Ovis aries: one gene and its partners. The protein of the gene in region 2 purifies or fractionates together with the protein of the main gene of each other region. This does not show direct contact. Links are inferred from orthologs where the notes say so. Each region holds a gene or a part of one and is shown on either strand. Other genes may lie near its edges. The genes, in order: SRPK2, CPSF6, NCBP3, WWP2 and RBBP6.

What was found.
Region 1: the proteins of CPSF6 (region 2) and SRPK2 purify together in Homo sapiens (affinity purification with mass spectrometry; 3 studies listed by BioGRID and IntAct, with this or other methods). This does not show direct contact. The link is inferred for Ovis aries from reciprocal best matches to the Homo sapiens genes CPSF6 and SRPK2.
Region 3: the proteins of CPSF6 (region 2) and NCBP3 purify together in Homo sapiens (co-immunoprecipitation; 3 studies listed by BioGRID and IntAct, with this or other methods). This does not show direct contact. The link is inferred for Ovis aries from reciprocal best matches to the Homo sapiens genes CPSF6 and NCBP3.
Region 4: the proteins of CPSF6 (region 2) and WWP2 purify together in Homo sapiens (affinity purification with mass spectrometry; 3 studies listed by BioGRID and IntAct, counting the BioPlex papers as one, with this or other methods). This does not show direct contact. The link is inferred for Ovis aries from reciprocal best matches to the Homo sapiens genes CPSF6 and WWP2.
Region 5: the proteins of CPSF6 (region 2) and RBBP6 purify together in Homo sapiens (affinity purification with mass spectrometry; 3 studies listed by BioGRID and IntAct, with this or other methods). This does not show direct contact. The link is inferred for Ovis aries from reciprocal best matches to the Homo sapiens genes CPSF6 and RBBP6.

Annotation. Positions count from the first base shown.
Region 1 is NC_056057.1:47,828,542-47,832,057, forward strand, and holds part of SRPK2 (SRSF protein kinase 2), read right to left. Parts: exon of another isoform or gene 542-3,516; coding exon 376-541; intron 1-375. UniProt on the Homo sapiens protein: Serine/arginine-rich protein-specific kinase which specifically phosphorylates its substrates at serine residues located in regions rich in arginine/serine dipeptides, known as RS domains and is involved in the phosphorylation of SR splicing factors and the regulation of splicing.
Region 2 is NC_056056.1:150,777,717-150,781,784, forward strand, and holds the start of CPSF6 (cleavage and polyadenylation specificity factor subunit 6), read right to left. Parts: upstream 2,815-4,068; 5' UTR 2,746-2,814; coding exon 2,686-2,745; intron 1-2,685. UniProt on the Homo sapiens protein: Component of the cleavage factor Im (CFIm) complex that functions as an activator of the pre-mRNA 3'-end cleavage and polyadenylation processing required for the maturation of pre-mRNA into functional mRNAs.
Region 3 is NC_056064.1:24,361,246-24,364,761, reverse strand, and holds part of NCBP3 (nuclear cap-binding protein subunit 3), read left to right. Parts: intron 1-1,097; coding exon 1,098-1,203; intron 1,204-3,516. UniProt on the Homo sapiens protein: Associates with NCBP1/CBP80 to form an alternative cap-binding complex (CBC) which plays a key role in mRNA export. NCBP3 serves as adapter protein linking the capped RNAs (m7GpppG-capped RNA) to NCBP1/CBP80.
Region 4 is NC_056067.1:36,512,703-36,516,218, forward strand, and holds part of WWP2 (NEDD4-like E3 ubiquitin-protein ligase WWP2), read left to right. Parts: intron 1-557; coding exon 558-639; intron 640-1,225; coding exon 1,226-1,354; intron 1,355-1,940; coding exon 1,941-2,016; intron 2,017-2,305; coding exon 2,306-2,377; intron 2,378-2,606; coding exon 2,607-2,695; intron 2,696-3,516. UniProt on the Homo sapiens protein: E3 ubiquitin-protein ligase which accepts ubiquitin from an E2 ubiquitin-conjugating enzyme in the form of a thioester and then directly transfers the ubiquitin to targeted substrates.
Region 5 is NC_056077.1:22,741,668-22,745,183, forward strand, and holds part of RBBP6 (E3 ubiquitin-protein ligase RBBP6), read left to right. Parts: intron 1-3,077; coding exon 3,078-3,177; intron 3,178-3,516. UniProt on the Homo sapiens protein: E3 ubiquitin-protein ligase which promotes ubiquitination of YBX1, leading to its degradation by the proteasome.

The DNA of each region.
Region 1 (3,516 bases), on a different chromosome or scaffold from region 2:
ACACTGATGTAACTATGCTCAATGGAGACAAGGAAGCATGCTGACGATTGTAGGTTGGCTACAGGAAACCTGTTACTATACACTCCTTTGTAGAGAAGTGGCCGACGCAGACAGAGTTCAAATGAAAATGAAGCAGCAGGTAAGAAGAATTCAGTGACCTTTTAAGGGAGGACAAAGCTAAGTAATTCAAATATTAAAGTACGACTTAACTGGGGCATCTTCCTTCTCAAGAAAAAGGTCTAATTATTACCAGTCATCGGGCTCTTATGCAAGTTCCTAACATGTACACGTTTAACTCAACTGCTTCCTATGAACAACTTTGCAGGCTCTCAATGCCCCTACACAGACTGACACAAAGCTGGCCCAGCCTCTCACCTGCAGACCCTGAAGGAGGAGGAGCGCCCGCTTTCTGCCACTCGGTGGCCTCGGCTGCCATTCTTCTCACATATGCATCGTCCACACACATCAAGATGTTTTCTGGCTTTATGTCAGTATGAATGATCTTGCACTTACTGTGGAGATAATCTAACCCCTGAAGGACCTGATCACATAAAATCAGGAAGGAGTTATTAATACTTCTATTATTCAACATTTATTTGTAAAATAGTTACAGTCATTACAAGGCACAATAGGAACTTGGGCCCGACAGGAACCCAGCTCCTTCCCATAAGCAACCAGTGTATATCATTCTGGAGATAATTTATGCTCATATAAGAAAATGCATTTAAACATATGCTTATTAAAATAACAACTTTGGTGAGATATAATTTACATGACACACAATTCACCCTTTTTTTTTCAATTCAACCTTTTAAGTGTACAATAGAATGGTTTTTAGATGTGCAACGGTCATCACTATATAATTTAGAACATGTTCATCACACAAAGACGAAACACTGCACCCATTAGCAGTCACTCCCCATCTCCTTCCAACTCCTCTAGCCCTAAGCAACCACTAATCTACTTTCCTGGCTTTGGACATTTTATGTAAGTGGAATGATACAGAGTGGTCTTTTGTACCTGGCCCAATACTTTCAAGGTTCATCCATGTGTAGCACATAGCAATACCTCATTTTTTTTAGATGCCAAATAATTTTCCACTGAAAATACATTTTGTTTAGTCATTCAATGATGAACATTTGAGTTCTTTCCATTTTATGGCTACTATAAATATATTGCTATAAACATTCATGTACAAGTTTCTATGTAGACATGTCTTTATTTTTCTTAGTAGCACAATTATTGGGTCATACTGTAACTCTATCTTTAGTCTTTCAATAAACTGCCAAGCTGTTTTATCCTATCTATGGCTGCATCATTTTACATTCCCATCAGCAATGTGCAAGGATTACAGTTTTTTCCGGATGATCAATACTTGTTATCTGTCTTTTCATTTTAGTCACTCTTGTGGGTGTGAAGTGTGTATCTCATTGATATGCATTCCCATAATGGCTAATGATGTCTGTACATTTCTAATATTGTAGGAAAGGAGAATTAGGTAGCTTTGGTACCCAGGCTATAAACTATATAGTACTGATTTAAAAGAAACTGCTAAACCAAGATACTCACATACTTACCATGTGTGTGTGTCTGTGTAAATATATATATAGCAAAAATTACAGAGTATGGTGACCTAAATGCCAGGCCAAAGTTTTTCTGGAATTATTTCCATAAGAGGGGAATTCTTTCTTTTCATAAGGAAAAAAAATATTTTAAAATACAGTTCATGTTCCCATATATTACAAATTCTACATGCTCAATAAACATTTGCATTTAATAAACATCTTCATTCAAACATTTTAAGTCATTTGGTGTCTTGATCACATTAGACAAGGAAGTGAGGAAAAGACAAGCAGAAGATATCTAATACTGAACAACTCGGAAAAGTTCTCAGCAAAAACCCAATGCTTCTGTCTACCTTCAGTTTCTGGCTAAACAATCTTGAAAGTAGAAGTCCCTCAGTCGTGTTCGACTCTTTGTGACCCCATGGACTATACAGTCCATGGAATTCTCCAGGCCAGAATACTGGAGTGGGTAGCCTTTCTCCAGGAGATCTTCCCAACCCAGGGATCCAACCCAGTTCTCCTGCTCTGCAGGCAGATTCTTTAGCAGCTGAGCCAATACCAGGGAAGCCCAAACAATCTTAAGATGACAAAACATTAGTAAGTGAAGGCACAGATTTCGCAAGGAAAGTAGAAGGAACATGAGTCTCTTAACCAAGATGAAAATCCTCATATTCATTTTAAAAACTTTTCCTTGGAAATACTTTCACATGACTTCACTGACTGAGCATCAGTTGAGCTCCTATAACAGGCTGCATATGCTTATAGATGTTTGATACACAGCAATAAACAAAGTTCCCCATCTCCACGAGGCTTTGACTTTACCTTAAAATTAATATTTAATGTTTTAGATAATACTTCAACTAGAATATGTTTAAATTATGTTTAAAATGTCCAAATACCAACAGTACGAAACATAGCATTATATGTTTCCATAGAGAATAAGGTTATAATTCTGAAGGGAACACAATTCAATGAGCCTGTATATATTCACTGGCATTCATGCATCTTCTTTGGGCAAACTGAAGTATCACATGGAGTTCTTATATATGAGTAGTAAGAGAAATTCTGAGAAGTACAAGAAATTAATGGACAAGTACACTGATGACTTCCCGTCTGTGGAAGTAAAAGGAATAAGACTTTTAGAAAGTTTAAACTATTTTTAATTATTTCAACTAAAATTTCACTTCAATCATCAAATATTAACTCAAAGTTAAAATGTCAGCATCTTTCCAAAAATATCTTTCACTACCATCTCATGAACAAGTTGTTCCTAACTTTCCACCTTAGTTCTTTCGTAGTTCTTAGGTTGTTTCACTGTGTGTGAAGCTGCTTAGGTAAGAGTTAATATGATCCAGTATCCAAATGTGTTAAAATGAATTTCAATGAAAATGAGACACTTGAGACAAGCAAAGTGTTCTCAGTAAGAATTTAAGGTTTCAGATATTTAATCCCTTTCATGGATCACTGCCTTGTTGTGGCGAAGGGGCTTGCATAACTCAATGAAGCTCTGAGCTATGCCATGCAGGGCCACCCAAGACAGACACATCATAGCAGAGAGTTCTGACAAAATGTGATCCACTAGAGGAGGGACTGGCAAACCACCCCAGTTATACCTGCCATGAGAACCTTCACAAACTATTAAAAAAGGTCAAAAAGATATGGCACCAAAAGATGAGTCCCCCAGGTCTAAGGTGTCCCATATGCGACTGGGGAAGAGTGGAGGAGAAGTACTAATAGAATGAATAAAGTGGCTGGGCTAAAGTGGATACAACGCTCGGTTGTGGATGTGTCTGGTTGTCAAAAGTAAAATCCGGTGCTGCAAAGAACAGTACTGCATAGGAACCTGGAATGTTAGGTCCATGAATCAAGGTGAGTTGTGAGTGATCAAGCAGGGGATGGTAAGAATAAACAATGACATCCTAGGAATCAGCAAACTAAAATGGACGGGAAT
Region 2 (4,068 bases):
CACACCATCTCCAAATTAAAGTTTTTAAAACAATTGAATGTCTCACTTTTTGAAACAGGTTTACACTGCTCTTTACCAAAGTACATACATGAAATAGACATCATACAAGTATAACTGTTTAAAACAGAAAAAATAAAAAACACATATATTACAAAGAACTTCAAAGTATACAATGCAATTAAAACTACAGCTCACATTGAAGACTTTTTAAATGTTTACAGCAGTTTAGAAGCCGAAATAAAACCCGTTATACTTAGCAAGACATTTTACTCAGCTACAACAAAATAAAGTCAGTTTAGCAACCAACAGAAGTAATGTCACCAGCTAATAAGAATGCAAATTAAATCAACAATTTTGTAGTTGCTTCTAACTCTGATAAAATTTCAGGTACATATTTCAATACTAGTAACATTTTAAAAAATTAAGAATGAACCTTAAAAAACCATCAACTACCCTTTTATGGCTATATTGTGAACAGCAATTATCACAGCAAGCAGTAGATTACAAAGGCCAGTGATACACAAAATAACAACAAAAACAAAGCCTCTATTTAATGCCATTAATTGATTAGAAAGTATGAAGATCCTAGAGGCAAAAACCATTCAAATACATGTGCAATATAAATGCTATAGGTAAAATCCACAAAATGTTATTTTTAAAAGAACCCTATTAAGCAGTTCATCAGGGCTACCAAATTTTAATCTCTTCTTACCTCCTGTTCGGTCAGCACTAGCTGGTGCACAGGGATAAGCAAGTATCACTCCATCCAGCTACACAGATGACAAAAATGCCCATCCCAAATGAAGTATGCAAAAGCCTAAAAAGTATCTCATTAAAAGGTTGTGAACAATGCTCAACTTCTAAAATTGTAGTCCAGCACTCCTTTACTGTAACTAGAAAGACAAAAGGAAATATATTTTCTTGGAAGAGGGCTAATGAAGACTCCCTTGAACATTTGTTTTTTTACTTGCAGATATGGACCTCCTGTCGATGGAATGTTACACTCATTTGATAAATAAAAGGAAAAGAAATTTCCCAGAGGTCTTTGTTTACTGACCTTAAAAAAAGCATTAGAACCCGACTGTGTTTAGCACTCGAGGTAACTTTCTAAATTGTCACTGATACAACTCAGGCATAGTAAAAAAAAAAAAGAAAAAAAACCTTAAGCGCAACACAATGAAGATTTTAAAACTTAACATTTGATAACAATGAGTTACGTTTAAATATACTCTTTTTTTAATGGGGTAGAAAACATTTAAAGCTAATTGAACTTTTCTTCTAATTTTAAACTTAAGGGCACCATCATCCCTCAAAACAAAAAAAAAAGGATTTCTAGTTTTCCCTATTTAAAAAAATCCTTAACTCCTAGCACAAATAAAATCCTTAAAGGAGGGGAAAAAACCCACAAAAACACAGTAACCAGAATTTTACTAAGCTTACATGGACCTGGAAAATGTAAGAAAGCTATTAGGAACACTGCAGTTAAACACAATTTGCTTTTTTTAAATGTGTTACTATATAAAAGACAGCAGATGTGACCAGAATGCTTACAGCTTAAACGTCACTGCTCTAGTAACAACCTTTTGCAAGGATGCACAACATCAGACATCATAGCTCCACGGATAGTCCTTCTAGGCAACTGTGGCCTGTGAGATACCGGAAAAACCTTGCATTCTCACTTTCTCCAGCCTTTCCAAACCCCTCGGAGAACAGTCAACATTTTGCTTTCGGAAATCGGGAAACAGCTATAAAACTAACAAACACCATGTGGATTTCGGGTGAGATTCTTTAATCATTACTCTGATCTCTTCTCTTGGTGAGCTACCATCTTTTTTGTTCCATCCAACCCTCGCGCTTCCAAGTCTTCCTTTTGGCCCGGGCCACCTATCTTCACTGGTATTTTCATCACAAAGACCGAGAACGACTGGGCCTCAGAGGCACTGCAAGCCCTCGAACACCGAGGTAGGGCCAGTGCACCGACTTTTTAAACACGATCCATGGGTCCGAAAGTCAAAGGACTTGTTGCAAACGTGCCCGCACCGAAGCCGTCTTCCCAAAGAGTGAGAGAAGGAAAAGGATGGCGCCACGCCGAAACCTGTCGCAAACGCGGGCAGGGGAGCTCAGGAAGCTGGGCGCGCGGGATACAAAGGGCCGTGAACACGGCCTTCCATGAGGCGACCCAGTGACGACAGAGACACAAAATGGAGCGACCGAAGGAATCGGAGCCCGAGCGGCAGGGCCGGGGGCAAGGTGAAGGCCGGCGCGCGCCCCGCCGGGCTTCCTCCTCGACCTAGCCGCGGGGGAGGGAGCGCAGGGGCGGCCCGTCCTCCCCGCCGCGCACACGCCGCCCCGCCGCCCGGGCCTAGCGAGGCGGGAAGCGCCCGCCGGCCTCCGCCAACAATGGGGAGCGAGGCGGCGGCGAGGGAGGAGCCGGCAGCGGCTGCACAGTGGCCGGCGTCCGCGCTCGGATCCCCGCGGAGGGTGGCGGCGCCCGCCGCCCACGAAACGACGCGGTAGAACGAGCGGCGAGGCGGGCGCTGCGCCGGGATCGGGCGGCGCGGCCCACTGGCGCCAAGGGCGCACGGTCTGCAGCCGCGCCGGCTCGTGGCCCGCAGCGGGCCCGAGGTCCGCGTCCCGGCCGCAGCGCCGCCCACCTCGGCGGCGTGAGCCCGGGCCCACACGTACCTGGTTGAACTCTTCGCCCACATCCGCGTAAATGTCTATATGGTCCACACCGTCCGCCATCTTCCCTCGGCCTCGGCCGCCGCCGCCGCCTCTTGCAGGTCCGCCCGCCGCGGCAGCAGCAGCGGATCTAGCGGCGGGGGCGGGGCGCGCTGCGTCACTTCCGAGGCCCGAGGGCCGAGGCGGGGGCAGCCGGGGGCGCGGGTCTCCGCCACCGCCTGCTTAGCTGGCGAAGAAGGGAAACTGCGTCTCCGAAGGCGCCGGCGGTTTCTTTTGTGTGTCTGGATTAGGCTTGGGGGGCGGGGCGGGGGTGGTCCCAGTTGTCTCCAGACAGTTTCCACGTTGTCTTTGGCACTCTTAAGCATTTTGTGATATTTTCATTTCTCAGTTTTTCTTACTTTTCTCACAGCCAGGGCTTTTAGGGAGGTGGAAGTTTTATGTCTAGATGAAACACCAAAAGTGTAGCCCGGCTTTCCATGAGCGCCTCCAGAGGATGTCTTACCTCTGCATCCTCAAAAGACCAGCAGAATTTCGTCTGCCTTGTAAATACTAGTTACCGGTTGATGGTTTTCTTGAGTTATTTGCATGCTACTTATGTCATTTGCATACCGTTTATCTTTCCATCTGTATCTTCTGCATCGTCTTCTTTCATCTCCTCCCCCGCCCCCTTTTCATCGCCCGTCATTTTTAACCTCCTTTGAGCTGCAGTTGGTTGTTCCTGGGATAGTTTAAATGTCTCAAACTTGAATGCGGTCCCCGTTGGGCCCACCCTATAAAGTGGAGGTATCTTCAGACGAGGAAACTCCTCTCTTAGACTCATAGAATGTCAGAGAAGGAGGGGAACTAGAAAAGATGACTTTAGGTCCAAACATCTCATTTTACAGATGATAAAAGGAACTGAGGCCTAAAGAATCTTAAGTGGCTTAATAGGAGTCACGTGGTTAATAAAAAAGCGTTTGCCAGTCAACTGCAGTCCAAAAATGTTAAATGGAAAATTCCAGAAATAGTTCCTAAGTTTTAAGTAGCTATAGTTCTGAGTAGCATCCAAGAAATCTTTAGCCATCCTACAACAACCATCCCTGGAAATGAATCATCTTTTTGTCTAGCACCTTTTATACACTACCTGTTAGTCCAGAAAAAAGATATGGTATATTTAGGTTTGGGTACTACTGCAGTGTCAGGCATCCACTAGGGGTCTTGGAGCATATCCCTTCTGGGGTTCTTTACCACTAGCCACCTGGGAAGCCCCAAGTGGGGACTACTTCACTTTAATTCAAAGGTGTCTCTCCAGTTTGAAACCTCTTCCTATTCTTTCTCATCCTTTTAAAACCCCACCAAGTTAGTGTGTGTTTATAAGATACACCCTGCCCAGAAATTACTGATACA
Region 3 (3,516 bases), on a different chromosome or scaffold from region 2:
AGTTGAATTAAAACTCTGAATAAATAAAACGGTGTTACTATATTGGATGTATGAAAGCAAAAATAAAAATAAGTATGTCATGCTTATTTTTTTGTGTTTTATCTGGGTCTCAATCTGTCTCAGATTGCTTAAAGGCAAAAAGAAAGAACTGATCATCTTTTTTGACAGGAAAATAGAATGAAGTGAAGGTGTTTTCTTACTGAAACTGAAAAAGCAGTATGCAGTCCTGTTCTTAAGCCTACACAATTTACCATTATTTGAAACAAATATATAGTGGAAAGGGTGGTAGCCAAGAATTGGTACTTTGGTTCTTACCAAAGGAAGGTAAACTAGTTGTTTCCAGTGGGAAGACTTCAGTGGAGAAAATTAACATAACTATTGGGAAATAACAGAAGTGTTGCTGCCTTACCAATCCCCAGAAGCTTTCTATAGTCAGACCTTCAATTAGTGTGGCAAAGTCAATATACAATTAGTGAAGGTTCCAAAGAGCTATCAGAAACCCACAGTTGGACCTGGGTATATTTTAGCTCTTGGGGAAAAAAAAAATTAGGAAGCTGATTATTTGGTTTTTCAGAAAGCATCAGTGCTTCTTTTCACTTCAAGATGAAAACTGGCAATTCTGTGGACACAAGTTTAGAATAGAGGAGAGAGTTTCTTGGCTTCAGTGTTATTTTTAAACACAAAAAAAGCTTTAGGGAGTGGACTGCTCAGGCAGACATAACGTGATAGGTGTGATTACCATGCACACAGACGATGTGAAATGGGGGCGGTGGTGGGGCTTCTAGAAATAGCGCTGAGAAGATCTGCCCCTTACCAGCTGAAGTGCCCCTGGCAAACATTTTAGCTTTTTTGTGCCCCGGTTTCTGCACAGATACATTGATAGGCACTGAGTCGTCCTCGAGATGATGACAGATTGCAGCACTGCTAGCGCCCACTCTGCCAGCCATTGCCAATACCCTGTTCATTGCAACAATGAGGCAAGGCACAGTGTTGTTCATACCTTCTGAGTTGCTTGTCAAGCCAGTGTATCACGTGATGTTTGTGATTTAACTCTCCTCCACATTTCACTTCTTTGGCTTTTTTTCTGCACCTTCTAGGAAGCGATTGAAAAGAAGGAGCAGCGAGCCAAGCGCTTCCATTTTCGATCAGAAGTAAATCTTGCCCAAAGAAATGTAGCCTTGGACCGAGACATGATGAAGAAAGGTACAGGGTGTTTGGGGGGAGTTTTCCGCAGTTTCCTTGCCACGGCCTTGTGCTTCTGGCCTCACCTCACGTGGAACTTGTGAATTCGCCGCTTCTGAGGTGGCCTGTTAGCGATGAGCTGCGTTAGCTGTGTCTCAGTGTTTTGTGTATGTGTGTGTGTGTGTGTATTCATTTGGCTGTGTCAGAACTTCAGGATACTGTCTAAGGAGCCCCAGAGAACCTCATGGAGTTGGTGGCAGATCGGCGATTAGAACTGTGGCTCTGTGGGACTCTTACTCATTTTCTGCTTTATTGTAGAAGTGTTCACTTTTCTTTGCCTTTAAATGTAGCAGGAGTGTATCGCAGTGAGACTCTTTTAGAGGAGTCAGATTGGTGAGGGATACCGTTAATACTTCTGTTGATCCAGGTTTGTGATTTTACTTTATTTTTGTGTTTTATTAAGGTTAAGTATTTTGCTTCCTGAAACTCACCCTGAATTCTTAAATATGATAACCTACCCCAGATTTTGAAGACAGTTTATAAATAGAAGGGAAAATTATTGCTTCCCTTTTCGTGAGTTCACAGCCATGTTTATTATCCCGTAAATGCAAATGATCTGCCTTTGTTGTATTTGCAAATTGGAGACTTGGCGAAGGGCTTTAATAGGCAGCCATCTGAAGGCACGTTAAAGGTCTGTGCTCTGCTGTATGAGTTTCTCTAGGTTTGCCTATTTGATAAAAACATGTTGAATGAATGGAAGAGTAGCTACTATTTGTCGGGAACTTGCTCTCTTATGAGGCGCTGTGTTAGCACATTACATATTTGTTTCGTACTCATTTCTCACAACAACCCCACGAGGAATATATTTTTATCCCTAGTTTACAAAGAAGGAAACAGGCTCAAAGAAATTAAATAAATGCGCAGGTTTACACAACTAGTAAAAGTGGAGTCAGGATTAGAACTCAGATTTATCTGACCCTAAAGCCTTGCTTTTAACTGTTTGCTCTGTTGCCTTACAATGTATGACATGATAGCAGAGACCCAGGCCGCCTCAGTCCTTCCCAGTGGTCAGAGTAGCTCAACTCTGGATGCTACTTCACTGTTTTTATTCTGCATCGTGTTCAATTTGGAAACATGACCTTGCTTGCCTCGCAGGCTAGGTTTCCAGGCATCTGCTCGAGTGGTTGTCTGTTTCAGGAAAAGTCCTGTGAAGGCCAGGGCCAGCTGTGCAGCTGGTCGTTCGTGTGCCCGCACACTGGACCCACACAGACGTCTGAGGCCTCTCCCACAGCCCCACCTTGGACGCACTGTGGTTTCACACCGCGCCTGTTTACTTCTAGTCCTGGGCGCGTTCCATGTGGCATCTTGCCTCTGATCTCGTTCATGCCTGTCACCCTGCTGATTCGTCTTTCCTTGTCCCACACTTTGTCTGGTTCAGATGTCACGCCCTCTGCAGCATCCCTAATTACCCTCGTCAGTCTCTCTTCCCACCTGTGCTGGGGCTCTTCTGAGCCCGGAGCCCTCCTGGGATCCAGTCTCAGTTCCTTAGTGAATGTGGGGGAGTTAGTGAACCTTTTTAGGTTTCATTTTCTTTGTTCATAAAATGGGAATATGATACCCTCCTGAATAGGACCTCTTCTTTTGGGGTTAAATTTTAATTAAAAAAAAAATGCTTTTTGAAAAACAGTCTTGATCTCATGATTCTGAAGATACTCATAAAAGACCGTAGATCTCCCTAAACTATCAGTGGCTCATTACAACCTGTTTTTGGCCCAGAAGGCAGCATGGCTTCAGACTGTGTTCTTGAACTCCAGATAACCCTGCTGCCTTTCACAGATCGATTTAGAGTAGGGGGTAGGTTTGGATAAATCTCAGAGTTACTATTTTTTCATCTCCCCTGGTAATTCTGTTGTACAGTCGGGGTTAACTGTACCCTAAGAGCGTGGATTCTGAAGCCTGACTGTCTATATTCAAATCTTGACTTGTCACCTTCTAACTGTGATCTTAGGCAAGTTATTTAGCCTCTAAGAACCTCAGTATCTTCATCTGGAAAGTCAGGTTAACTTAGTTCTTACAGGGTTGTTGGGAGGTTCTAACAAAATGTTAGGATTCCTAGAGTGGTGCCTGGCACATAGTAAATGTTAGTTATTATTATTATCTGGCATTCTCCATCTTCCAGACAGCCATTTAAGTGGCCCAGCCTCTTGTGAGAATGGGGACATTGGAATAAACATCTCGATTCCTGCAGCCACAGTAAGGTACCGGGTTATTTCTTCTTATTAACATCAACAGTGATGAAATATACCATTCTATAAGTGCTCCCCACGTGGCAGT
Region 4 (3,516 bases), on a different chromosome or scaffold from region 2:
TACAGAGGCCTGGTGGTGCTGAGCAGAGAGGTATGAGGGAAAAGGCAGCCTCCCCACCGCGCCCCCAGTGACCCTGCCTGTGAGACAGGGATGCCTAGGTCAGCTGCATCCAGTGAATGAAGAACCAGAGAGTAGCCGTGATGGTCTGGGGTGGGCACCAGGGTCGAGGGAGGCTGGGCTGTGGCTCCACTTTGCACACAGCTGGATGCAATTACGCCTCTGGTTTCAGCTGGCCTGCTCCCGCTCTGTGTTGCCACACTGCCCCCTTCCCTCCAGCAAGCCAACCAACCGACTGACCGAAGACGGTGCTTCATCTTGAGTTGAAAGCGTGTATACCCCTCCCCTGCTCCCCAGTAGGGAAAGATTCTCTTTGTCCTTTTCTTCGCCAGTGACAGACATGAGTGAGTCAGGCTTGAGCTGGTTAAACTTCTCTAACAGGGTGGGGACAGAGGCAGAGACGCAGACCTAGCACCCAGGAGGTGGGAGCCAGAGGGGAGAGGACGTGGGCTCAACGTGTCTCAATCTGAGCGTCCACTTTTCTTTCTCCTCCCCGGCAGAGAAGAGACAGGACAACGGACGGGTGTATTACGTGAACCACAACACACGCACAACCCAGTGGGAAGACCCTCGCACCCAGGGGTGAGGACTTAGGCCGGGAGGGCTCTGGGTGGGCCCCGTGCACCTCCATTGGCCTGGTGGCCTCGCACTATATTTGGCCTCTGTGGCTGATGTTCTGGGACCTTTAAGCACACACAAGTGCCCTCAGACCCTCACGATATAATGAGAGCTTGAAAGCGGCACCTTATGTTGGCCTTCCTCATGGCTGCAGCGTGGCCTGACTGGCCGGTGTTGCTGGTCTCTGGTGTACAAGCTGCTGATGAAGTGATTTCAGAAGGGTTATGTGAGAACTCCCCCCGACCCCGACACTCCTCTACTACCCACCCCCCCAGAAGCTAATCTGGGATGGGGCACTTGATGTCTTGGGATTGCTGGTGGCCACTGAGGCCACGGCCATCCACCCAGGGCGGGGATTCTTTGGGCCTTGGGACAGTAATGATCTGTCTCCGCTGCAGACCTTGGGTATTGCCAAGTACCTTTCCTTGAGGCCTCTGCGGGGCCTGGGTAAAAGCAGAGAGAAGGCAGCCCCAGCCTTCTGGGGACCCCAGCCCCCTTAGCATGGAAGCCCATATGAGGTCCTGCAGCCCCTCTCTTCCCATGTTTCCAGGATGATCCAGGAGCCGGCTCTGCCCCCAGGGTGGGAGATGAAGTACACCAGCGAGGGGGTGCGCTACTTCGTGGACCACAATACCCGCACCACCACCTTTAAGGATCCTCGCCCGGGGTTTGAGTCAGGGTAAGGACTTTGCACTTAGGGCTTGCCAGGTGGTGCTAGTGGTAAAGAATCCGTCTACCAGCGTAGGAGATGAAAGAGACATGGGTTCAATCCCTGGGTCAGGAAGATCCCCTGGAGAAGGAAATGGCAACCCACTCCAGTATTCTTGCCTGTAAAATCCCATGGACAGAGGAGCCTGGCGGACTACAGTCCATGGGGTCACAAAGAGTTGGACAAGACTGAGCGCCTGAGCACCAGCACTGAGGACTGTGCAGGTGACATCACTGTTAGCTTAGGCCTAGTATAGCTGCTCTTCCCACCCTCTAGTGGCCAGTTTTGATGCCACGCCAGTGGGGATGGGGAGGGAAGGGGCTTCTCTATTCAGACTAACACTGGTGGTCTTTCCCTAAAATCAAGAGGTCTGGCTTTTCTAGATTTTCTTTTTAACCTTCAAGTCTGCAGAAGATCTCAGTGGTGGACCCTTCCTTTCTTTTATGCTTTACTTTACTCGTCTCTAAATTAACAGAGCAGTAGCTTTCCTTAGGGCTAATATGTTGCCAAGTTTTGAGAAATCTCGTGAATTCCAGAACATCTTTGCTCTTCCCAGGACAAAACAAGGTTCCCCTGGCGCCTACGACCGAAGTTTTCGGTGGAAGTATCACCAATTCCGTTTCCTCTGCCATGTGAGTTCTGGTACTGGGGCTCCCCCTGGAGATTGGGGTTACAGAGTCATTTCAGCAGTTTCCTAGCCTAGTTGCAGGTGTTGGAACACCTGTGTCTTAGGTGGGAGCAGGTCACTTGTCTCACTCTGAGCAGTTGTGTGACACTGTCTTCCATTCCTAGGGGACCAAGTTCTCCCCACCTAACCTGGGGGTGGAGGGTAGGGGAAGCTTATTCAACAGACAAGTGATCAGATTGAATAGTTACCACCAACGCCCCAATTTGAGGTCTCTGTTTTCCTTTTCTTTTCAGTCAAATGCTCTCCCCAGCCACGTGAAGATCAGTGTTTCCAGGCAGACACTTTTTGAGGATTCTTTCCAACAGGTTAGAGAATAATCACTGAGTCTAAGACCCAGGGCAGGGAGAAGGCCCGCTGCTACCACCCTGTCTTCTCTTGTGTGGCCCTTTAAGCCCACATGATACGGTTTTCAAGACGTGGGCCTTGGTTATGGGGAATCAGCCGAAGAGCAGGCCTGGGAGTCCCTGGTCGCCTGCCCCCAGCCTGCCATGGAAGGGAGAATGGCAGGCTGGCCATGACCTTCTGTCTCCCCAGATCATGAACATGAAACCCTACGACCTGCGCCGCCGGCTCTACATCATCATGCGTGGCGAGGAGGGCCTGGACTACGGGGGCATCGCCAGGTGAGCTGGGAGCCCCAAAAGGCCGTGCTGCTCCCTGCTTCACCAAGCTGCAGGGCACTCGGCCAGGAAGCTGCCTCCTTGCTCAGACAGTTGCCAAAGCTCTCCTTTACCTTCAGGAGTGGGCAGGGGTGTGGGTGGTCCAAAGGGGTGCTGGAACTGGTTCCTGGGGTCCCCTTCTGGGCTAGGCATCAACCCTCTAATTGCTGGGTCAAGGGGAAGCTGGGGGTTGGTTTCTAGGGGAGCGGTTCAGGATGATGGCTCTTTTAAAAATTTTTTTAATTTTGTATTGGGGTATAGTCAATTAACAAACTGTCGTGATAGTTTTAGGTGAACAGTAAAGGGACTCAGCCGTCCATGTACGTGTATCCATTTCCCCCCAAACGCCCACCTCCCATCCAGGCTGCCACATACCATTTGAACAGAGTTCCATGTGCTGTATAGTAGGCCCTTGTTGAGAACAATAGTTCTTTGCCAACCAACCTGTCATTATTTCTTTATTTTACCCATCTAGTTGCACCAGTGGGCAGTGGTTAGATATCGGTATTAAGTGGTTGTCCGTTGGAATCGACCCTGGACTTCACTTCCTCTTGAGGCAGCTGGGGTGGGCTCAGTTGGGGGTCTTGGTGTAGATCTGGCATATATACATTGTGTCCCAATCCAGAGGGTCTTGATAAATACTTGGCTGCATGTCATGTACACAGTGACGGTAAAATGAAAACAAATGGTATACTCCTAAAAAGAACTCAAAGCATTGTCTTGCCCTCACCCCAGTGCTGCTACAAAAGTTAATAGATTCTCTGGCAAAATGTTGCCTTGGATGA
Region 5 (3,516 bases), on a different chromosome or scaffold from region 2:
TTAATACCTTATTTTTACAAATGCTGAAAGCAGGAAAGTGCTTTGCCCAGCCCTGTGTTTTCTGTTTATTTGTGAACTGTCATTATTGGAGAAAGCTTTGCTGTAGTAAGCTTTGCTATTGGCTTGGTTAAGAGAAGAGAAAGTATGCATCTTATGCTGTCCTCAAATTAGGAGAGAAAAAGATATTTAGGCACTTAATGAATTTTATGGCAAGTAGTATCAGTGTCACAAGGCAGCTGAGTAAGAATGCCACTTGCTTTTAGCACCATCCAGTGAATTAAAGAGGACAGAATAAATATTTATAGCTTCATAGTTAGGAGATTGCCTAGGAAAGAATGGCAAACTGGATCGCTTTAGTTTGTTTGAATTAATGTTTCTATCATGTTTCTATAAAAGATTCCAGACAGTTTTGGAAGTCTGTCCATGTTTAGGACTCTTAAATCTTAGACTGAAATGCTTGAATCAGAATTTCATGTTTCAGATTTAAGAGTTCTGCTTCTTTGTTTCTAGACTACATTTCAAAATGAATCTCAAATTATGTTTTTGTGTTTTTCCTATATAAACTTGTTTTTCTAAGTTTTCTGCTTATTTGCAATTATCCGCCCCCCACCCCCCAAAAAAAGCACACACACACAACAAAACAGCCTTTATTCTGAACTTAGGGTAAAAAAGATTTGGAAGCTGAGGAAAAAGGATTTTCAAAAGACTATTTCTCCATTTCTTAAATTCGTCTTTTCATTTCATCCGTATTCTTCATGTTTTTGGATCAAAAATGGAAGTGTCAAATAGAGAGGATCTTTTGAAGCTAACAGGTTACTTATTGAGGTATCTTAAAGGTAGGGAATCATCAGTGTAATTCAGATACTTTAAAAGGTCATTTAGCATGTGGCGTCAGAGCCAGACTTTAAGCTTGACAGCACTGTGTTGATGAGGTGAATAAAGTTGTCTTGGAAAGCTCCTGAACACAGTTGCTGTTTGTTCCTACAGTGAACTCTTTTGACAGTTGTTACATAGTCAGCAACTTAATTGTCTGGTATTTGACATAAAGTTTTAGAGTTGTTTTTTTTTTTTCTAAAGATTCCTCATCGCCCATGCTTCTGGGTTTTTCTTTCCTAGTGCTTGCTTGGAATTTGGAACTATCCTGAACTATGCAAAAGATAATGATGGTAGTCTTACACTAGAAAATTGTCTCACTCAAATTGGATGCTTACGAAGATAAAGCTTACTACTTGAAATACATATATCAAAAAGAACCCTTCCCTGAACAATTTATGTGTATGTGCACTCAATCATGTCCAGCTCTTTATGACCCTGTAGACTGTAGCCCTCCACCCCTCTGTCTGTGGAATTTTCTAGGCAAGAATACCGGTTAGGTTGCCATTTCGTCTTCGAGGGGATCTCCCCAATCCAGGTATTGAACTTGCGTCTCTTACTCATCTCTTACCACTGTGCCACCTGGGAAACCCAATTTATGATAATGTGATTAGAAAGGATACAGCCAGTATATCTATAAAAGCTTAAAATGCTTACTACATATTTGATTAACTTAAAATAATTAGAACAGAGGTTGATAAGCTTAATATTAATAATTAGAGCACTTGGTGCTAAGTAACTTAAGTGAGTCAGGTAAACTCAGTAATTTAAAAAGAGTGAACCCTAATACTTGATTGTGTGATTAAGAGAGATGGTTATATTTTTACATATATCCCCCTGTAGTGGATTATTTTTGGTAATTTTGCAAATTCCTCTCATAGCAAATTTATTTTTAAACCATCGTTGAATTCATTGATTGATTTTTTGTTTGCATTTCATTCTTAGAGAACTATTGCAAGTAATATTCCCAAGAATAGGATAATTCTTCCTGTCTGTCTGCTCAGAAAGTAGCATCTGTGTTCGTCCAGTTGCTTAAGCCAGGAACCCAGGAATTCATGCCTAATTTCTGTTGGAAAGCCTTAAAACATTCTCTTGATTTCTCTGTCACTTCCGGAGCAGATCATTATTCTCTCTTACCTGAGCCTACGCAGCAGTCTCCTCCTTAATCACCCTGTTTCTGTTCTTGTTCCTATACAGATTCATTCTTCACTTAGATACCAGAGTTTTTAATATGTTTTTAATATGAATCAAATTGTCATCATATTTATTTAAAATCCTTCATTGACTTCCTGTTGTACTTAGAAACAATATAAATATATGTAACCTGTGCCTGTGTTTCTAGTCATTCTGTCCTTCTCATCAGCTCTTCTGGCCTTGCGGTGTCATTTTTTCCACGTTTCTCTGTCTGAAACATTCTTTGTCGGTGTTTTTGCACATCTTGTCTTCTCAGTCTTCTCTAAGTCTCAGATGTCACTTCCTCCGAGGGGCTTTCCTTGAATCAGCTTTCTATCCAAAGTTGCATCCCACTTTGAATTCTTTATTACAAAGCCCTTTTTTCTTTGCTTACAAAGTATTCAAAATGTGTCATACTTTTTAGTCTGTCTTCCCCAGTAATACTGGTGTACAGCCCAGGAAAAGTGAAGGGAAGTCGCTCAGTCATGTCCAACTCTTTGCGACCCCATGGACTGTAGCCTACCAGGCTCCTCTATCTATGGAATTTTCCAGGCAAGAACACTGAAGTGGGTTGCCATTTCCTTCTCCAGATCATCTTCCCAACGCAGGGATTGAACCCAGGTCTCTCCCGCATTATAGGCAGACGCTTTACAGTCTGAGCCACCAGGAGAGAGAAAATATTTATTCTAAATGACAACTTTTTCCTCATATACTTCAGATGTTCAGCATTACTGGCTAAATAGAGAACAACTTAGTCTTCCTGAGACTTGGGGTTCAACCTCCATCTCTGGTAGAGGTGCCAGAGCCAAGAACCTGTTGACATATTTGGTGTTAACTCCTTATGGCTTTGGACATTTGTTCTGACAGTATCAGTAATCTCGATGCAAGGAACATGTGGTTATTAATGTTCTTTTATATTTAAGATGATTTCCCATAAAATTTATGTCTGGTTGAAGTTTTCTAATTCTTGAGGACTATGACTTACCCAAATCTCTAAATAGAAATTCAACTCTTTATCCTTTTATTTACAGAATATACTGATGATAATGCTCTAATTCCTAAAAATTCATCTGTAATTGTTAGAAGAATTCCTATTGGAGGTGTTAAATCTACAAGCAAGACATATGTTATGTAAGTATTTATTAAATCCCACATTTGCAAGTTCTCAAAATACTTTTTACTTTGTGAGAGGAAAAGATATACTTTAGAACTGAACTCATTACTTTGTGCTAGTGAGTATGTCTTCTTAATCCTTAAAATTATGAGAATGTTTGTTTTCCTGATTTCTTTCCCCAGTTAAACTGTAGTCAGAAGTAACAGTAGACTTTTTGATCTATGTAGGTAATATTAACAAAAAGCAAATGATCTTCAAATAAGTAAATCTTTGCCCTTTGTTGGTTTTTATTACCTGGGTACTTTCCCCTCCTACCATTTTTTCACTACAAGAATGTAAGTGTCTTGAAATCTGTC